3 linked regions of the Arabidopsis thaliana genome follow. The protein of the gene in region 2 interacts with the protein of the main gene of each other region in a pairwise test. Each region holds a gene or a part of one and is shown on either strand. Other genes may lie near its edges. The genes, in order: AT1G01300, RR10 and AT5G11090.

What was found.
Region 1: the proteins of RR10 (region 2) and AT1G01300 interact in a two-hybrid assay, tested with the Arabidopsis thaliana proteins (one large-scale study listed by BioGRID).
Region 3: the proteins of RR10 (region 2) and AT5G11090 interact in a two-hybrid assay, tested with the Arabidopsis thaliana proteins (one large-scale study listed by BioGRID).

What each region holds. Positions count from the first base shown.
Region 1 is NC_003070.9:113,970-121,585, forward strand, and holds AT1G01300 (Eukaryotic aspartyl protease family protein), read left to right. Parts: upstream 1-2,814; 5' UTR 2,815-3,095; coding exon 3,096-4,553; 3' UTR 4,554-4,876; downstream 4,877-7,616. Other genes in the region: CNX3 (cofactor of nitrate reductase and xanthine dehydrogenase 3), read left to right, coding at 330-464, 650-1,327; AT1G01305 (uncharacterized protein), read left to right, coding at 5,460-5,885; AT1G01310 (CAP (Cysteine-rich secretory proteins, Antigen 5, and Pathogenesis-related 1 protein) superfamily protein), read left to right, coding at 6,252-6,977; AT1G01320 (Tetratricopeptide repeat (TPR)-like superfamily protein), read right to left, coding at 7,613-7,616. UniProt on the Arabidopsis thaliana protein: Aspartyl protease. Not able to cleave BAG6.
Region 2 is NC_003075.7:15,443,553-15,451,354, reverse strand, and holds RR10 (response regulator 10), read left to right. Parts: upstream 1-4,312; 5' UTR 4,313-4,588; coding exon 4,589-4,715; intron 4,716-5,171; coding exon 5,172-5,324; intron 5,325-5,428; coding exon 5,429-5,767; intron 5,768-5,847; coding exon 5,848-5,924; intron 5,925-6,018; coding exon 6,019-6,873; intron 6,874-6,957; coding exon 6,958-7,065; 3' UTR 7,066-7,302; downstream 7,303-7,802. Other genes in the region: AT4G31930 (Mitochondrial glycoprotein family protein), read left to right, coding at 551-766, 1,012-1,340, 1,486-1,645; BAT1 (HXXXD-type acyl-transferase family protein), read right to left, coding at 7,659-7,802. UniProt on the Arabidopsis thaliana protein: Transcriptional activator that binds specifically to the DNA sequence 5'-[AG]GATT-3'. Functions as a response regulator involved in His-to-Asp phosphorelay signal transduction system.
Region 3 is NC_003076.8:3,521,158-3,528,002, reverse strand, and holds AT5G11090 (serine-rich protein-like protein), read right to left. Parts: upstream 3,327-6,845; 5' UTR 3,208-3,326; coding exon 2,554-3,207; 3' UTR 2,157-2,553; downstream 1-2,156.

The sequences.
Region 1 (7,616 bases), on a different chromosome or scaffold from region 2:
TAATAAAATATTAAGAAAATTAAAATATGACAATGTCTTTAAACTAGAGACATTCAATGAAAATGTCTATGAGAAGACATTATAGTGAAGTAGATTTTCTATTTAAAGACAACCTCATATTTTAATAATTATATTTTAGTTTTTTTAATAATTTCTTACGTGGGAAGACATCCAATATAATTGTGCAATGTGGATGGCCTAAGAATTCTTAAAGTTCGGTTCGACCGGCTAAGACAAATTTCGGTTATTGATTTGTTAGTTTTCTTTTACCGGTTTAGCAGAACCCTACATACTTGGGTTCTGTTCTTGATCTCTTGTGGTGAAATAAAATGATTTCGACGCTCCGTCGCGCCGTGTTTCTCCGTCGATTTCCGGCGGTGGTTTCTCCGATCAAAAGGGCTTTCAGCAGTAGAATTGACGATGAATTCGATCCCCAAATCATGAATATAAATGAGCTGAATCAGGTTTTTCTCACTCTCTGTCTGTTGTTTTGGTTTTTTCTTTTTCTCGTCATGTTGTTTTGGTTTTGTGTAGCTCTTAGTAGATTCAATCTAATTAATGGTTAAAAAGAGTTCGTTGAGAAAGTAGAGAAATTGATGTTAAATCAGTGATCTTGATTCTACCAAAAACATTTGAATTGGTGTTTCAGGAGATGCAGTCAATCTTTGGACAAGAACCTTCTCCCGATGGTCCTGGGACAATGGATTTCTCTGAGTTGAAATCATCCAAAATCGAACCTTTGAGATCGAAGAATATTGATTTTAGACAACAAATTGAGTATCATAAATCTACACACTCGAGCAAGAATGATTCGCAAGCTATAGAACAATATGCAAAAGTGGCTAGTGATATGTCTAAGCTAACACATGTTGGTATCGCAGGGGAAGCTCAAATGGTGGATGTTTCTTCTAAGGACAATTCCAAGAGAACTGCATTGGCCTGTTGTAAAGTTATTCTTGGGAAACGAGTATTTGATTTGGTCTTAGCGAATCAAATGGGGAAAGGAGATGTTCTTGGAGTGGCGAAAATAGCTGGGATCAACGGAGCAAAACAAACCAGCAGCTTAATACCATTGTGTCATAACATTGCTCTTACGCATGTTCGTGTAGACTTACGACTAAACCCTGAGGATTTTAGTGTTGACATTGAAGGAGAAGCTTCTTGCACTGGAAAAACCGGAGTTGAGATGGAAGCTATGACTGCTGTATCAGTTGCTGGTTTGACTGTTTACGATATGTGTAAGGCTGCTTCCAAAGATATCAGTATTACAGACGTGAGGCTCGAGCGTAAAACTGGTGGAAAGAGCGGGTCTTGGTCTAGACTCTAGAGGGGACTGAACACATTCAACATTTGCCTCTGTTGCTATAAAGGTTAGCTTTCTTTATCTTATTTGGATGCTTGGGTGATATCTCTTATATGGAAAGATGGAAACTTTTGAATCTCGATTAGTCAATTAGGCACTGTGAAAGACACTATAGTTTTGCTCACAATTTGTTGCTTCTGCTGTTTTAGTTTGGGTACTCTCTAAGAACAAAGGTGAAATATTACCTATTGATGCTTAAGAGCGGATTGAAACTACCAAGTTTGTTCTTTTTAGTATTTATTCTTGCAATGGGTTATGTGTAAGAACACACATAACATCTCTCTTGAATCTTGTTATAATTAGATCATCACAACACTATTAAAAGGGTCAGATAACATAGTGTTTATATGTATAGGTATATAGGTTATCATGTCGATTTGTGAATCTTTTTGTATGCATATGGTTCATGTTACGACCTTGGAATGATGAGTGAGCACTAAACATATACTAAAGCAGAGAAAGCTAGAAAGTGTGCTAGGCTGTCTCTACTGGCCAAAGTCTCTTTTTTTCATTCTTTCTTGTAGCTTTTGCTTTCTTGTCTCCTCTAATCAAATACTCCATTTCGAGATCTCTCCGTCTGATTTCTTACCAATGTACTAATCATTAATCAAATTGGAACTACGTGTAGCACTATGGCTTGTCCGAACCAGTAAAACCGGCTGAGAAAAGATCCTGTCAACGAACCAACCGGTCAAGTACGGATTTCTTTAATTGTAAAGTTGGGTACGTGTTTATGAAGCGAACGTGTTTGATAGAAAAAAAATGAATGCTTGCAACTGTGAAGACTGAAAAGTCATGATTTAGTGTTGAGACTTATTCAAATTATTATGTCCACATTCTTTAAACAGTGGGAAGAGAGAGATTGGTGACAGCATTAAATTGGTGGTCACACATACCAATATCACAAAATTTAGTACTTGTACCCCATAAAGAAGAGGGTCACTATATTCAATTATTCATGTTTTATGATGTAATATACTATAGTAGATGTTAACATATCGAAGCATTGAATATGAAAGTTCCAAATCTTGATGGTCATTATTTCGAATTCTTGTGGGCGAATAAATGAAAAGAGCGTTTGATGATATCGACATTCTAACAAGATCGTGAGATCTAAAGGTCGTCGTGATGATTTAGTAATAAGATAAAAAAGTCGTAGCAACGTTTTTTTGGTTTAAAATGTAAAAAGAAGACCGTGATGCATTGTTTGTAATGTATACATGAATAAAATAAGTACTTATTTAACAACGTAGTGTATTAGATTATCTTTCGTCATGTATTTGCATGTATATTTTCCCCCATGTGGAATGTTTCAGTTTGTGTTATCTCAAGAGCGAAAATGTGCCACCAATTGTGGGGAAATTATTGGGCATCATTAATTAACTACTAGTAGTATATAAAACGAGCTTTTCACTTTTCACAAAATAATTATAGTTAAAATAAGCAAATTATTTCATGACGTAAAAAAAGAAAGAAAAAGAAGCTACCACACCACTTGCATATTTCTTAAGTGTCTGTTATCCACCGAATCTAAAATGTCGCTTTTGCATTCCCACAATCTTATTAGATATTTGTATTCCCAGAGTAAAAGTATAATTCAAACATTTATTATTATTATTATAGGAATTGAAAGAAAATTAAATTTTCAAAAAGACCGCTTACTTGTTTATTATATACACAGAGAAGAGAACAGTCTCACTCGCCACTTTCCTCGAGAAAACGAAAAAAAAAGATGGTAGGAAGAAGAAAAGCTTTACTCTTTTCTCTCTGTTTCTTCTTCCTCTCTCTTCCTTCCTTCTCTTCCCTTCCATCCTTCCAAACCCTATTCCCCAATTCTCATTCCCTTCCTTGTGCTTCTCCCGTCTCATTCCAACCCGACTCCGACTCCGAGTCACTGCTAGAATCCGAATTTGAATCCGGATCCGACTCCGAGTCTTCTTCTTCCATTACTCTAAACCTCGACCACATCGATGCTCTCTCCTCCAACAAAACACCCGACGAGCTATTCAGCTCCCGTCTCCAACGTGACTCCCGGCGCGTGAAATCTATCGCCACACTCGCCGCTCAAATCCCCGGAAGAAACGTGACTCACGCGCCACGACCCGGTGGATTCAGCAGCTCAGTCGTCTCTGGTCTCTCTCAAGGAAGCGGTGAATACTTCACGCGCCTCGGTGTCGGCACTCCGGCGAGATATGTTTACATGGTGCTCGACACCGGCAGCGACATCGTCTGGCTACAATGCGCTCCTTGTCGGAGATGCTACTCTCAATCCGACCCGATATTCGACCCGAGAAAATCCAAGACCTATGCCACAATCCCCTGTTCTTCACCTCACTGCCGCCGATTAGACTCCGCCGGATGCAACACCCGTCGTAAGACTTGTCTCTACCAAGTCTCTTACGGAGATGGTTCTTTCACCGTCGGCGATTTCTCCACCGAAACGCTAACTTTCCGGCGAAATCGCGTTAAAGGCGTTGCTCTCGGATGTGGCCACGACAACGAAGGTCTCTTCGTCGGAGCCGCCGGTTTATTAGGACTCGGTAAAGGTAAATTATCGTTCCCCGGTCAAACCGGTCACCGGTTTAATCAGAAATTCTCTTACTGTTTAGTCGACAGATCCGCTTCTTCGAAACCTTCCTCGGTCGTCTTCGGAAACGCCGCCGTATCACGAATCGCGAGATTCACGCCACTTTTGTCAAACCCAAAACTCGACACTTTCTACTACGTCGGGCTTCTGGGAATTAGCGTCGGAGGGACACGTGTCCCCGGCGTAACGGCTTCTCTTTTTAAACTTGACCAGATCGGTAACGGTGGAGTTATTATCGATTCGGGTACGTCTGTGACCCGGTTGATCCGACCAGCTTATATTGCTATGAGAGACGCGTTCCGGGTCGGAGCTAAGACATTGAAAAGAGCTCCGGATTTCTCACTCTTCGACACGTGTTTCGATCTCTCCAATATGAACGAGGTTAAAGTACCGACGGTGGTTTTACATTTCCGTGGAGCTGACGTATCACTTCCGGCGACGAATTACCTGATCCCTGTGGATACCAACGGCAAGTTCTGTTTTGCGTTTGCCGGTACGATGGGCGGACTATCCATAATTGGGAATATCCAGCAACAGGGTTTCCGGGTTGTATACGACTTAGCGAGTTCCCGGGTCGGGTTTGCTCCAGGAGGATGCGCTTAATAATTAGATCTGACCGGAGCCGGTACGGATAATGTACTTTTGTTTTCTCAATTTAATGCTTAGACTTGTTTTTTTTTTTTTTATAAATCGGACAAGTGAATCTTTAAGCGGTGGAGTTGAATACGTGTTGATAAAATCTTCACGTGTTGTCGGCTGTATTATTAGTATCGTCTTTATTTTACATCTCGGACCAAAGAGAGCGTGTATGATTTTCTAAAAAATTGGCAATTTTACTTTTAGTTATCCAACAAATGACAACTGCGGAAATTAGTTAGATCAAAGATTATTCAATATAATTTCCAAGTCAGACAAATCTGATTATCTGAGGATGGTAGAGTACGTCTATAATAGTATAAATTAAGATAGATTTTGGTAAATTACTGTTTACGTAATACATAGGGCAGATGAAAAATTGTGTTGGAGTTGTTAATCAGACAAAAACGAAGATTCAGCGCGAAGATAGAGACAGTGCTCCTATTACATACTCCTGCATGCACTGATTACTTCATTTTTTTCCTTGTTTATTTTCAAGCACTTTATTGGTTTAATAATCTACTTTATCACCTAATTACATTGAATACGTGTTAACTTGAGCTTAGAGTCTTCATATGTTACTTAGTTCATTCGTTATGAGTTTAAAACCCTCTCACTCAACCTGTACTATGTTTTGCATAGTTGGCTAAACATGAGATATCTTAGCAGAAACTGAGAACACTTGTCAAGTTCAACATTTGCGGATATACAAGTAACGAAAAACAACACTTGAAATTTAATGAAAAGATGTTAGAAAGTATAAAACATTAATGAATATAACATCTTAACGTAACACACCTATATTTTCCATTACTTTATATAACCCTCAATAAAATAGTTTATAAATCTACACACAAAACCTCATCAAAAACCATGGGAAAGCCAAGAAGCGTGTCTCCGACCATCTTCCTCCTAGTCATCCTCTTGGTGACCGCCGGAGAGAAGACGGAGGCGAAGCCATGGTGGAAGAAAGTCGGAGATTCCATCGGGAATATAGCCGGAGGAATAAGAAATGCGGTTGGGAATTATAAACCAGTGGAGATGGGATTGTCGTTAAAAGGAGGATTTTGTGTGAGAAAGCTTCTGTCTTTGAATACGAATGTGTTCAGTGAATGGTGTATAGCTCTTAATGATCCAAGAGCTCCTATGTACATGAAGATTGAGAATATACCAAGTGGTGTGTCAATCGAGTCCATTTTAAAGAAGCCTATTGATTTAATCAAGAACCATTATCCCAATTTCTTGAAAGTTTGGAACTTTAACCAGAAAATTAAGAGAAAGCCTAGACGTGCTCTTTAATTTTCTTTATTCTTCTTCTTTTTGAGACATGCAGATTCGCTATTATTTCGATTATTAATAATGATAAACTTGAGCTACATGTTCTTGTTATGTTGTTGTTTAAATTTGAGTATAGCATATAATTCAAATATAATTTGGGTTGGTTTTGATTTACAATTTAAGTATTGCCTAATTGTAGGTGGGTTTACTACATTCTTGAATTGATTTAGAATGGTGTTCCGATCTTCAATATTCACCATGCATTTGACTTTCTATTAATTAGTTTCCACTCACAATTTTGCATTTTAGAGTTAATTACACTTTTCACCTACAATTAACGTAATTAACTCTCCGATTAAACTTGATCCTTTGTTTTGTTTTTTTGTAATGGAGCTTCGTAAACGGAAAATACGAGCTCCATTACATATCTTCGTCGGCATAACGTTCTTCCTCCTTCAGCTTTGGTCGGGAACGGCCCAAATTAACCATGAAGACTCTTCCACAAAACCCTCCGTTAAAAACTCTCCGTCAGCGACGAGTACTCGGCTTCTGTTGTCACCACCTTCGTTCACCGGAAACCGATTCTCGTTCAGGTTCAGGTGGAGGAGAATACGACGTCGTAACAGAGTCAACAGAGCGAGCAGAGAGTTTTTAATCGCACATAACCTCGTAAGAGCGCGCGTGGGAGAACCACCGTTTCAATGGGACGGAAGATTAGCGGCGTACGCGCGCACGTGGGCGAATCAGCGCGTGGGTGATTGTAGGCTTGTTCACTCTAACGGGCCGTATGGAGAAAACATATTTTGGGCCGGAAAGAATAACTGGAGCCCCAGAGATATTGTTAATGTGTGGGCCGATGAGGATAAATTCTACGACGTGAAAGGTAACACGTGTGAGCCGCAACACATGTGTGGGCACTACACGCAGATCGTGTGGAGAGATAGTACCAAGGTCGGATGCGCAAGTGTGGATTGTTCGAACGGCGGCGTTTATGCGATTTGTGTTTATAACCCACCGGGAAATTACGAAGGTGAAAATCCGTTTGGAAGTTATGATGATCAGATTGGTCTTGCCCGGGATGATCCACCGGCGGTGATCGGAGGAATGGCTTGAGAGTGGAGGACACGGCGGTGTCACAATCCACTTTTAGTTACTAATTTTTTTTTCTTCTCTCAAACTTTTTTTGGATGAAACTTAACCTTGGGTTTTTATTCAGTGGAACGATCATCTAATAACTGATTCATTAAACAAGTTTATAATTTCGACATTTTATATAGTGAATCGTTAGAATTGATGTAATCGATGAGAAATACGCAAGTAAATTACGTGAAAACTAATGTTTAAACATGAAGAACCATAAAAGAAAAAATTATGTCCAAAATTTCCTACGTTTTATTGGCTGAATTAAAAGAAAAACCCCAGAAAAATGTTATATCACCTCACTTGGTAAACAAAAGAATGGCTTGGCTTTTTCTCACCTCTGCACAACCTTTCCGGTCAAAATCCAAAACATTGTAACTTCATTTCGAGGCTATCACAAGCCTCAGTTTCCCATGACTGTGAATGAAACTACCTGCCAATTAGAGATCAACAAGTTAAAATAAATACAAGTGTATACATGTCTTTGAAGATTTAGTTTAAGAGTTTAGAGAAGCTAACCTTTATATTGTCCCTATGAAACAGCAAATATCAGAGATGTGTGTGTGAGTTTGCATTTCATCGAATTAGCTCAATCTTTGGAGAGTGTTTCAA
Region 2 (7,802 bases):
CTATTGTACAATGAATACATAACACACAACTAAGCCGGATTGGATTCGGAATCCTGCGTGCTTGGAGTAAACCATTCATGCGGTATATAAAAAAACATTATTAATCAAAATGATCAGAAATAATAATTATTATTTATCAGAAGAAACTTAGTTGTATTGTATGCATGAACCAAACCAAACCAAACCAATTCAAGAAGTGATTAACCCTTACCCCGGCCGAAACAACTTGTCTAGCCCATCCGAGACAACTACTATCTAAACACCACTGTTTTAATGTTCAAAATATAGTTTCTTGTTGAAATAAATGGACAACATTCATGATTCATGCATGGTCTTAAACAACTTTCATTGGCTATTTGTCTTTTTACACAAACGCAAAATTGGGCTTTAAAAACTCAGAAACAATGTTTTATTCATGGAAGCCCATTAATATTTGTATTGGACTATTGGACATCCAAAAAGCCCACAAAGAGCTCTGCTATTTCGATTCAGTTCAATTTCCAATCAGAGAAAACCTCGGAAGAGCCCTAAACGTCGGCGACGAACATCGATGGCTCTTCTGCTCCGTACTCTTCAAAAATCACGCATTTCTCCTTCTCATTCCTCAAGAACCCTAATTTCTTGGGTTCGATGCAAATCTCTCTTGCCAAATCACCAATCACGAGACGTCACCACATCGCCAGCTAAATCACCCTTCCGGTCCAACATTCTTCGAATCATAAGAAACGAGATCGAGTATCAATCCGATTATGCTCCTCCGCATCAGGTATCATCTATTTCGTTTATAATCACTATCTAGACAGCTGGAATCAATGTTTATGCTAGTCCTAGATTTCGGATTTGTGTAATTCAGTTGTTCTGTTGAAGTAGATAGATGAGGGAGACAAGTATCACTGTATTTGAATCAATTTGTTTATCAAGAAGTAGACTTTATTTGTTCAAGATCCAAGTAAATCGGAAGAGAAGAGATACTGATGATTTGTTTTTGTTTCACTTAAAACTATAATGCAGCCAGCGACTGAATTCAAATCGTTCTCTGTGGAGGATTGTCCCGGTGAGCAATGCATTGTGATGAAAGGGAAGTTTGGAGAAGATGAGGATATCAAAATGGAAGCAACTATGTTTGATGGGTTTATGAATGTTCCAAGAGCCGGTTTAGATGCTTCAGGGCACGATGTCCGTCTTCATATTAGCTTGCTTGTTGACATTTCCAAGGTTGATGGAAGTGAAGAGATCGAGTTCCTTTGCTCCGTCTGGCCTAACCGTATTGAAATTCGAAAGCTTTACAAGCTTAGACGCAACAAAATCACTGGTCAGCCTTACATGGGACCTAATTTTGGGTACTTACTACTAATCTCTCTGCTTTCTTGAATCACTTTAAATGTAGAGTGTAGCATTTAACTGGTCTTGAATTTGTTGATACAGTCAAGGAAATTGCCTAGTTGAATTCAGCTACTGAACCTTGTGATCTTTGTTTCTTTGCAGGAATTTGAAGTATGATTTTCAGACAGCGATTCGGGAGTTTTTACGAGTAAGAGGAATCGACGCAGAGCTTTGTTTTTTCTTGCATGAATATATGATGAATAAGGATAGGATTGAGCTCATTCAATGGTTGAGAAAGCTAAATTCATTCATCTCACAATAAACACGAAATATTTCGATGTTTACACATCTTCTAATTAAACTGTTTTATCAGTTAAAAGTAGTAATATTGGCTTATTGACAAAAAAAAAAAGTAGTAATATTGGCTTTAGTTACTTTTATCTGAAACAAAATGTACAATTGGGCCTTAGATGAGTAATAAACAATAGAACTTGGGCCCAACCCTCCACCGGGATGTTTAATAACTGTGTCTTTTAGTGTGGTTATTAATTAAAAAATTAACCCCTTTTGGTGTGAGCCAAAGAAAGAAAAATAGATTAAAGTCTTTCATATACATCAATTAAAAAATGTTCGATCAATTAAAACGAGCCATGATGAACTAATCATATACATCATCATCCATCGTGAAAAGCTAGCTGTTAGTTAATAATTACTTAATAATAAGAAAGAAAAAGAAAATGATTGTTATTACTTATTAGTACTGCTATATACTACTCCATATGGAATAGTAACTGCTATTATCTGGCGTTCTAGAGTTGACATTTAAATGTCATAGTTTTATTTAGATGTGGAAAATCTAGTAAGAGTAATAGAGTAGGAAGTGATTAGGAAGCAACCGAACAAGAAGCATATTTTATGACCGGTGTGGTTAGCCCTTGTGGGAGACAAGATTACCTCAATTTTTGGCTAATCTTGATTTTCCTCCTCCATTTTATTATTACTTATTTTCTTTCTTTTTATTATTATTTTTATCAGCATCTTTCTCTTTAATTATTTTTCTTAAAATTAAACATTACACCAAAGTGTTGCTGTTAATTTCTCATATTTAAATGTGAATAGATATATACTATATACTAATATACATGTGTGTATCCTATATGAGACCATAAGCCAATGACAGTAGGTATTAGCTAATGACAAGTGACTTCCAATAACTTATTAAGAAGTAGAATCTTTACAGATTTGATGTTTACATGGATCTTCTAGAAAACTGATTTCTTTAATCTCTCTAATGTCATCTGCAACTATTTAACATACACACACACAAAATAAAATAAAATTGGAAGAGCTAATGATAATGATTTGTATTAGAAAGTTGTCCTTTATTTTCCAATGCATTGCATCGAACATATGTTGATGTTCTTTTAAAATCGTAAAATCTAGTTCTGTATTCTTTTATTCTAGGTTTATCAAGGCTTTGTCACAAGACAATGAGAATACAACTTTTCTCTAATTTTCTTCATATACTAAATAAATTATCGTAGATTTGTAGAAGGTTCTTAGGCTAGATTCAAAAAGTCATTTAGGATCTCTTTCTAGATCTTGCATTTTTTTTAGTAAATCTTATGCTGGTGATACTTTTATTAAACCTTATGATTCTAATTTGGAAAACAAAACTAACTGATAACCTATTTTACATTAATAAAAACGATGCATAATTGTAATAATGTTTTATTTTTTTATGTTAATAAGCTAGCCAAAACATATTATTGATCCGAAGTACGCTATTTTCTATAAGAAAAGGAGAGGCACGGAAATGAACACGCTGTGTGGTTAATCCAAGAAATCATACAAAATTAATTCATAAACTATAATAAAATCATTGGGATCTTATTTTGCACCCACCAAGCTTGTAGGCTGAAGATGCGGATGGAACCCAACTTCAAGAAATTCTTGCCTTTTGTTTTATGGCTTTTTTTTGTCTTGTCATAGTTATATAAATGTATTTTGCTAAATTTAAACGGACAATCAAATAAATAAATAATATATAATTTGTAGTTAACAACTAAATTCAATGACTAATATCATGTAACAATAGACTTGTGACAGCAGTTTTCTTTGTTGACTTCAAAGTTTAATTCGAGCGTACGATACATTTGGTCGGTGATAAATATCGTGCTATGAGTTTAATTTGTTGACTTGAAAGTTTTATAAACATTGTGAACCATTGTAACATGTGTTTCTTGATTATACATATTCCTAAAATTAATTTCATATGGTAAGAGTGTAAAATTATCCAAGTAATGGTGTAAATTTTAAAAGTCTTTTTTTTTTTTTTTTTTCATCAATTTTAAAAGTCTTTCTCTGACGTTAAAAATAGTCTTGTCTTAGGTTTGAATAATATCGGCATTAGCCATTATTGGTCGTTACTATGGGATACTTAATTTTGCTAAATCTTTCAGAACCTGTACGAGATAAGCGAAAAAGCCATGAACCACGGTCACGCGTGTCTCGCACTTCCCAACTTTCACCATGCATGCTCTCACTAAAGCCTGTCTTTTTTTTTCTTTCTTTTACATATTTTAAAATCATAATACCATAATTTGCACTAATTCTTATGGTAAATCCGTTTTATGAGATACTCAACTTAGTTGTCCATTCCTTAAGACACAGATTAAGGAAAGTATTCAATTCTTTTTGAAGTTATGGTAATAACTCAAATTCTTCTTTCCTGCCTTGAATACTTGGTACAATATCACAAACATATCTCTAAATTAATTACATGATCTGCAGAATCATTTACATAAACACTTTCACATTTTTATCCATTTAAAAAAAAAAATATTATGATCCTCTTTCCTTTTCAATTAATTATCACTAAACTAAAAAATATTATTCCCACAGTCAAAAGAAACCAAACTAATTTAAAAAAGGTGGCGCGTGATTATCACGCTCAAATGACCGATCGGTTCCACTGAATTTTCTCAGAGATTCTCCTCTGAAAATGTTTTTTGTTTTTTTCTTATGTCAAAAAGAAAATTTACCAGAAATGATTAAAATTTGAAAAGAGAATTCCATAAATGAGTTAATTCGCCAGTCTTGAAGATCATTACAGAGTTTTCAGAAACCATATGTAGTCTTAGATTCTCTTTTGCCAAAGAAGAAAATTTTACTCTGCCATACAACTTTTTGTCTCTTTCTCTACTAATAATAATAATCCGAACTTTGTTTGTTCTTCTACTTCAATTCATAATCTTTGACGGCGATGACTATGGAGCAAGAAATTGAAGTCTTGGACCAGTTTCCGGTTGGGATGAGAGTTCTTGCTGTTGACGATGACCAGACTTGTCTCCGTATTCTCCAGACTTTGCTTCAGCGCTGCCAATATCACGGTTTGGTTCCTTCTCTCTCTCTCTCTTTGTTTTTTTTTAATACCAAATTTCTTGATGTTTTCTAGATTTTGGATTTGGTTAAGCTACAAAATTTAACATCAGATTCGTTTCTTGTCATAACACCATAAATCGATTCCTCTCTAGATTTTTATATTTTTGAAGACGAGCTTGAAGAATCAATTAAGACTATATTAGCTAGATTCACTCTCTGCATATTTTTTTACTTTTAAAAATCCATGCTTCAGATTTTGTTGCTTCACTTGTGTTTCAAAGGTCATTGGTTCTTGTTCGTTCGATTTGAAACAGTCTCTTGTTCTGTAAAAATTGAGACTTTGGGGAATTATTACATATTTGATTGCTCCCCATGTGTCACAGAGCCATTGGTTCTTGCTTTACTACTTTTGAATGAGTCAAAACTGAAACTTTGTGGGTGATTATTATTATTGTAATGTGCAGTTACAACAACGAATCAGGCACAGACCGCATTGGAGTTGTTGAGGGAGAACAAGAATAAGTTTGATCTTGTTATTAGCGATGTCGACATGCCAGACATGGATGGTTTCAAGCTGCTTGAGCTTGTTGGTCTTGAAATGGACTTACCTGTCATAAGTATGCAGCTCTCCTTGTTCTAGTTCATAGTTCCTAGAGAAAGTTTTGATCGTTAGACAGATTTGACTGTTTGAATCTTTAACATGATGATTGAATTCTTGCAGTGTTATCTGCGCATAGCGATCCAAAGTATGTGATGAAAGGAGTCAAGCACGGTGCCTGTGATTATCTGCTTAAACCGGTTCGAATTGAGGAGCTTAAGAACATATGGCAACATGTTGTGAGAAAGAGCAAACTTAAGAAGAATAAGAGCAATGTGAGTAATGGTTCAGGAAACTGTGATAAAGCAAACAGAAAACGTAAAGAACAGTATGAAGAGGAGGAAGAGGAAGAAAGAGGGAATGATAATGATGATCCAACGGCGCAGAAGAAGCCTCGTGTTCTTTGGACGCATGAGCTGCACAATAAATTCCTAGCAGCTGTTGATCATTTAGGCGTTGAGAGTAATGTTTCTTGATCTCTCTACCTCTAGTTTTCATTTAGCTGTGAATCATGTTCTGATTTATAAGTATTGATGATGCAGGAGCTGTTCCAAAAAAGATTCTAGATCTGATGAATGTTGACAAACTCACTAGAGAGAATGTTGCAAGCCACCTTCAGGTGAGAGTTAGACTATGATTCTTCAGATTTGATCTGTTAGTGTTGATATATGTATGATTCCATTAAACACATTTGTAATGTCTTTTGGTTGCAGAAATTCCGCGTTGCTCTGAAGAAGGTGTCTGATGACGCCATTCAACAAGCTAACAGGGCGGCTATTGACTCACATTTTATGCAAATGAATTCTCAGAAAGGACTTGGTGGCTTCTACCACCACCACCGCGGAATACCTGTTGGATCCGGTCAGTTCCATGGTGGAACCACAATGATGAGGCATTACTCTTCAAATAGGAATCTTGGTCGTCTGAATTCCCTTGGAGCAGGAATGTTCCAACCAGTCTCATCATCGTTTCCTCGTAACCATAATGATGGAGGAAACATACTTCAGGGTTTGCCGCTAGAAGAGCTTCAGATCAACAACAACATCAACAGGGCTTTTCCAAGCTTTACTTCACAACAAAACTCTCCAATGGTAGCTCCCAGTAATCTGTTACTTCTCGAGGGTAACCCGCAGTCATCATCTTTACCCTCAAACCCGGGTTTTTCTCCTCATTTCGAGATCAGCAAGCGTCTAGAACATTGGTCAAACGCTGCATTGTCAACCAACATTCCACAGAGTGATGTTCATTCAAAACCTGACACCTTGGAATGGAATGCGTTCTGCGACTCAGCTAGTCCGCTAGTAAACCCAAACCTGGATACAAATCCGGCATCTCTCTGCAGAAACACGGGTTTTGGATCCACAAATGCTGCACAAACAGACTTCTTTTATCCATTACAGATGAATCAGCAGCCTGCAAACAACTCAGGTCCAGTGACAGAAGCTCAACTGTTTAGAAGTAGCAATCCAAACGAAGGTTTACTCATGGGACAACAGAAGCTTCAGAGTGGTTTGATGGCTTCTGATGCTGGTTCCTTAGATGATATAGTCAATTCCTTAATGACACAGGTATTGTATACAATAAAAACCATTTACTTTTTGCACCTTATTCTTTTGGAGATTTCTGAAGATTTGTTACTTTGACTGTAACAGGAACAGAGCCAATCTGATTTCTCGGAAGGTGATTGGGATTTGGATGGTTTAGCTCACTCGGAACATGCATACGAGAAACTCCATTTTCCCTTTTCTTTGTCAGCTTGAGAAACCTGTTTTATTCAGACACAATCAATTATTATTATCTTTTGGTTCTGTCTCTTCTCTCTTCTCTGTAATGAAAGTGTAAGCTATTGTTTACCGCTCCCCCACTGGTTTGAGCAACTTAGGAAGATCCAAATCCATAAATAAAATTCAAAAAGTACCCTCTTTGCTACAAATGTAAAGGTGTTTTGAAGAGGAAGTCAAAGTCTTCGTGTCTAAGTGCAAAATAACGTTAGAATCAAAGTAGTACAATGATTTGTACTACCAGCCTAAATCGGCCCCATATGCCCAATAACCTGGCTTAGGTGTCAACCACCCAACATTGGCGACCTTAAGAAAAAAGTCTACAAAGAAACATAACTTTATAATTATTTATCCAGAAATTCTGGAAGAAAATAAAGCCTATCACGAAATGAGTATAAAAGTGATAACGACAACAAATACAAAGCAGAGAGATGTCATTAAATTATACATCATCATAACCCAATTACAATAAAGTGTCTTTAGCGCACACGCATGCATATAGAGGAGCCATTATCATACTGTATACTACCACAAAGATTCTACTAATTAATTAATTATCACCAGCTAATATATTAGCAATCAAGGAAATGATTTGAAAAGCCATTAACATCTCGTGGGTCCAAGCCAATCCTCACAAGAACACCTTTGGCATCTTTAGGGTTCTTCATGAAATAAGCAACTTGTGGCACCGGTGGACACAGTGGGGCCATGTAATC
Region 3 (6,845 bases), on a different chromosome or scaffold from region 2:
CTGTTAAACACAATTTAATATCACTTTTAAATTTTCATCAAGGGTGGTGTTTATGAGAAGCCATTTAAAAATAAGCACGTCTTCGTTAGGGCCAACATGAGATTGAAGTCAGAAGTAACGCTTAGGAATAATTAAAACTAAATTAATCAGCCATCAAGATAGGTGTATTACTTAATACTAATTATGCTACGTATCTCTGCAAATCTATTTAATTATGGTACAAGCCTTCTGTTAAATTTTAAACTCATGGAAAGATTCTAAATTAACGAGATGAAATCTTTAATTAAACACCTCTTAAACAGTATCTCCCTTAATTATGGAAGATGATTCCTTACTTTATTCTGATTTTATTCTGTTCTCAAATCTTAACAAGTTTGGTTTCCACCTCACCTAAATCCGCCTTCACGCGTAAATTTTGTTTTTTTGATACACATTCATTGTTCTACGTTTTGCAAAAAATAGTGATAATAATTGCGAATATAATATTCCATGTATATCTCTTCTTAATATTTTTCCTTTTAGGCAAGTAGTCGCCGACCTCATATGATATCACTATGAATTGAACCATAACTATGAAAAGGTATAAAAGAAATATCTAAGTGATATAATAAAACAATAATGTAACAATATGATGGTGGCATATACTCTTCCAGGTAAGGAAGACGTGTATCCCATCTTTCATTCCACTTTTTCCTCTTTATAAATTGGACGATCCCTCTATTTCACCATTTATTCCTCTTATTCTTTAGGTACAATTTATTGCTAGAATTTTTACAAAAATATTAGTCGACCAATGATGTCATGCTGATATTGAATAGGTGGAAAATCATTAAGTTTTTCAACTACCATTCTTAAATTTACAATAATTTCAAGTACTTGAGGTGGAGACGACTCATAACGAAACATGTATGACTGTATGAGTATGACATTGGAAACTATTGGTCACAAGAGCCATTTTCCACTTCTTCCCTTTTCGAGAGCCGCTAAACAGAAGAAGAAACAACAGTTTGCAAAACTATAGTCAATAGTGTTTCACTCGGTTAGTATCAGTTGGTTGTAGGAACATACCAAAGCGGAATGAAGTTAAACCGATCAAACCCGAGGGGATACGTCAATCAGAAAAGATCACAAGTCCGGTCCAACCTTTGTGGTCGCCAACACATTCTATTCATCACTAGCCGACTTCTTCTAAGTTCTGACAATAGAAAACCCTTTTAAATTCTACAAATAAACCTAAACTAATCCACGTACAACATATTACAATGTGGGGCATCATCATTCATCGTCAAGTTTACGCAGTTTTAGCTTTTCGATGAGTTTCATTTTTTTAAACTTAAAACATCAAACTTTGTTTAATAAATTCAAAGAAGATTTCTTGAATTAATTATAAATTATTTTTAAAAAGTATATCATGGACGCAGAGGAATATGATCGAATATAACAAAATCTTCCAGATCAGTAAGACGTGTCTTTCCACATTCATAGCCTTCCTCTTTTCTTCTTTCAAACATTCCAAGTTTTACTCCTTCATGAATCCAAAAGATTCCCAATTCCATTAATAATATATTCATATGTATTCTTTTCCATCTGCTCCCTAATATATTCCATATGTTCAGTCATTTTTCTAATTGGGTCAGTCAGCTATCTCTTTTACCAAAACACTTTTTTTCCATTTCCCTCCTATGTAAATTTTGTCTTCAGTCATGTTTTTCCCTCCATAGATTTTTCGTTGTTTTTTTATATATGTCCAGAAAGTGAAGACCTTTTCCACCTCTTTTGTTTTTGTTTTTAATGTATTTTTCTACTAATTTATTTTGTTTTTCTCTCAATTCCATCTGAATTTTCATGTCCCTGTTAGTCAAGTAGTTCAAACTCCATCACCAAACGCAACCTGCAAAACAAAAACAAAATTCAAAATGTCCACGAAAATATAACTACAAAAAAATGTAAGTAACATAAAACGGAAAAAAAAAAAAAACGAATGGAACATACCTGACACGACGAATAACGCATACCTGGAAAACTAACGCAACGCTTCACGGTAGAAACGACGACGGATAATGGCAAACAACGCCGGTCAACGGAGTACACGAACGTTGACTTGACGGGACACGAAAAAAAAAACGCTAATCTGACAAACACATACACAATTGATTGTGAGGAATGAGAAATCTCACTTTGTTCAATACAGAAATTAGATTCAGTTCTTTGATTTTCGATTTTAGGTCTCTAATTTTTGGTGAGACTCCGAACATTTTTTTTTTTTTGGGGTTCGACAAAGACGCAAGAGAGAGCAACAAAAACAGTAAAAAAGAGAACGTATGTACAATGCATTCTAGCATCTTCTTTCACCCAACAACAAAAAAATTATGATAGGTGTGTGTTTCTTCCTTTTACAAAATCTCGATTTCTCGAGGATGATTCTTCTTCGCAGACCTCAGCTTCATAACAAGACTTCTTCGCCGGATCTACTAAATCCTGTGGTGGTTTTCGTTTAAAGAGAGAAGAACAACAAACAAAACAAACCTGAATTAACCAAAATCCAGATCAAAATCAATTCTCATCAGCTTTCGCCATGATTGAGAGTCGACTAGGACGTGGCTGATAAGCAGCTCGTCTTTTCAGATGATGCGAAGAAGGTCGAATCAAAGTAGTCAAAGCTCTTCTCACCCACTCTCCTTCAACACCACCAATTCTCACCAGCGAATTAGTCATCGCAGATCGACGCATATTCAATCCATTCGTTGTATACGAAGCTGTACCTTGACCATGTGGATTCGCTACGTTCTTATGTAGACTGCATCTGAAAGATCCTGGATGCGTCGTCGGAGAACACATACATCTCCTTGAGATCTTGTGATTATGGCTCGGTGGCTGATTCTTCGAAACGGAGATCGATTTGTTAGTCGGAGATATAGATCTGCTATCGAGAGAGTAACGAAACGACTGAGACATCGGTTGCGCTGTGTAGAGATTCACACGAGTCGGTGACGCAGATCGGTGGTGACTGTGATTGCTCTCGTGATGACGGTGATTGCTGAAAAAAGCTGACGACGGAGATGAAAAGCTAGAACTCGTTGATGAAGCGAAAGCTGATGAAGAAGATGACGGAACGGCTCTTGAGTAACCACCGCAAAATCGACCTGACGGTGATTGTGAACGAAGCACCGGTCCGTTTGACTTGGTTCGTGACGATGTAGTCACCATTTTTTTCTTCTATGAAAGTCAAATTTGTGAGAGAGGAAGAAGAAGAGAAGAACAAGGTTTTTTTTTTTTTTTTTTGATTAGCTGCTCTGTAGAAAGTGCCTAAGGGAGGTTGGTTCGGCAAACCTAGCGAGTCTCAGGAACCGAATTTATAGCAAAAGCTTGTTCAATGGCAATAAATGTAAATACGTTCAAAGACTTTGACCATTTTCGAAATTTAGGTATTTCTATGTCGGGTTAGTCAAATTTAACCATGGTTAATGAAACTTAACTATGGTTAGCAAAATAAATTACTAATTTGTTTTTCAATTTGAGGCGGTTTTGCCGTTTCGAAAAGAATCGGGTTCGGATCCAACGGCTGAGATGACAAATCAGAGGGAATGCTTTTGGGGGCAGTTAAAAAAGCTGCCACGTGTCATGACTAAGAAAGATGTCAGCTCTTAAGTAGGAGAGTACCCAGAGAAAGTTTAGATAATTACGTAAATTGCCATTGCCCGTTGTTTTGCCAAGAGCCGGATTTACATTTCCAATGGTTTTATTTTGTTTGTTTTATCGTCACAACCCAATGGTTCTGTAACGGTATTGATTCAGATTAATAAGATTATACAAAAGTTTAGCATCTAACAACATTTGTGTAAATTTAGGCTATCTAAAGAAGGCTTCGAATAAATCAGTCTTATGTATAGTGTATTCTAGAGTAAAACATTTTTGCCAACATAAAATAGTTTTAATAAATGTAAGAGAGTTCAATACTAATAAATTAGTGAGCTAAAATCACATATGTCAAACCATTCAAAAGTCTACCAAATAAATATGACTTTATATTGGGTTTATAAAATAATTTTAATAGCAATTTGAAGATTTGTGTCATATTTATTTGGTAGACTTTGAATAGTTTTATAAACATATTTTAAATAATTAAATTTGGTTTATAAAATAAATTTAATAGCAATTTGAAGATTTATGACTTTTAGTAATTTTAGATTTTGTAGTAGATATTAAAAGCTTACATTGATCAAATTTAGCACTCTATTGTTCTTGTTTTTTTTTTGTCTGAAACATGCCTTTGGTCTACGTATATAGTCTCTTAACATCAAATATTAATTACTAATTATTATTTTTTTATAATAAATATCAAAATTAGTTTTTTTTTTTTTTGGGTTCATCAATACTAGTTGCTAATACCCAACAACATCAATATAGAAATCTTATAACATGAAGGTAACATATAAAGTTACATCTATGATCTAACTGACACCATCATTAAAAGTACCTACGTTTGCTGGTTTGTTTCCTTTCAAGATGGTTTAATGCTAGAAGAAGAAATAACAGCTCACTACCAAATAAAAAAGGGCCAAAGAGAGAGGACTTGATATAGCTAGTTTTTTGGAAGGCAATGCCAATCGTTAATTCGTAACACTTTAAGAATTTCGTATTATGATCATAATTAGTCAAGAGTTACTCAACACGTAACACTTAACATATTTCAACAACTTTTCACCTTAAACCTACTGGTGAGTTAGCCAAACTCTTGAATGGGCTTAAAAGCAATGTAACAACAACAACGAATCTAGCATTTGGTATAAAGTTGTTACGGTGGAGGAGATCCATGCAACTGTGTTTCATATTAGACCTAAAGAGTCCCTACAAATTGATGGAACTACTGACTCGAACACTATTCTGATGTATTAGAACATTTATATGCTATCTTAAAGGTATAACAGCTTCTCTGCAGAAGGAATTTGGTGATGAACTCAACCATAGTAATAATATATGTCTTATTCCAATGCGTCCTTAACCGCAAAATACAAAATATGCTTAGACAGATTATTGCCAGTAATAGTTTTGGTGCAGAATATCAATTTTAAGAATTTGATGGATACATTTCAGAGAGTTCTTACCAACTAAACCTTTAAACACGGTTTCTACAGATATTAAACGTTTGACGGTCAGAAACGACCTATATTTTGTCTAATTTGATTAAATATTTAAGAGAGAATTATGATTGAGATTATTAATAAGGTCTGATCTACTCGTTTCACATTTTGTCTAAATTGGTCTTGACAGAATCCATATTTTGTGTGTAATTAATTCTTAGTAGCACCTATCAAACGTTAATACCACTAAAATAGTATTATACCTGATAAAAACTAAAAGAAAGTAAAACTAATATTAGACATTAGTATATGATTAGGTGGGTACGACGATTGTAAACAGTTGATTTAGACGAATCTAGGCAATAAATATAATTGAAAATAGTAGTAGATCACAATGATGCGGGGCACATGGAGGTCGTGTTGGGTAAGTTAGGGACAAAACAGTTATTTTTGTATGGTCGGGACACACAATGTGATAAAGCAATAGGCTACAACACTCACACCACCACGTCCACATTACTACGACACGTATAGATTTATGTCACACGTGTCCAGGCTTCTACTAGCATCATAACAATCCAAGAGCCAAAAGTGTTTAACTGGTGATCCAATGTCTGACACTGGATTTAGAGTGGAAGTTGGATTTATTTAACATGGTCATGGTCATGGCCTGGTCGTGGTCATGTGATTATTCGTTCTTATTACAATCCAAAAGTCCACTAGTAATCATCTGGACTCACCTTTATTTGGTGAAAGTCCCTTCGGGGACATCCGATAAAAAAATTATTCGGTGAAAACAAATATTTGTTCCAAATCTTTTTTTACAAGGAAACTCTTTTACTCTAGTGGCGATAAGATCATAAGAGTAATTTCACACAAAAAAATAGATCAAGAGTAATCTTCTGTATCTATTTTTATCAGCATTTGTTAAGTTGATATCTTTTTTGGCGAGTATAAAGCGTGTTACAATCTTCTTCATTATATGTCCGATATCTCATGCACGATATAAAAAGGTGCTTCGAGAATGTAAAACTGAATAGAGAGGGCTCGATGCCTATGGAGTATAGTAATTGGTAAATAGTAAATTGTAAGGAATATTTAATTTGACTCGAGTTTGAGAATCATATTACAAAGGATATGATGCTTTATTTCTCTCTCTGATATTTTCATTTTATTAAAGTGGTTGTAGCAATGATGTTGTACTAGCATCCAATATTATAATGTACAGATTTCAATAATTATGATATTATGCTGATTTGCCATTTTTTCTTCTTCATTTCGACATCTGTTTGTATATTTGGTTAATCAATAACCATCCACTAAAAGAGACATTTGAATATCTTAGTATTATCTGGTGCACAAAAAAAAATAAAAATCTTAGTATTATCTAAACAATCCAGAAACTAACGATCTTAAAAACCTTATTTACCAAAAATGGTATTCTTTTTTTTTTTTTTTTTTTGGTTGTAAAGGATTCAATCATATCAATATTAACTCTTCTATCTTAAAATTGAAGAAGTATCGTGATTTCTTAGTGTTATCTTAGCTTTAACTTTTAACCGTTTACCTTCATGCAAGTATTGATTTAGCTACTGGTAAGTGGTAACCCGTTGCATCTTATTGTAGTATTGTGTATATATATATATGATCGAAAAACATGACATCCACCGAGAATGCATCCACTCCAGACTTAAACACATGTTACACTAAAATGGTGTTACTCGTAGAAAAACCAAGGAATATAGCTAAAAAGAGTTCACCAGT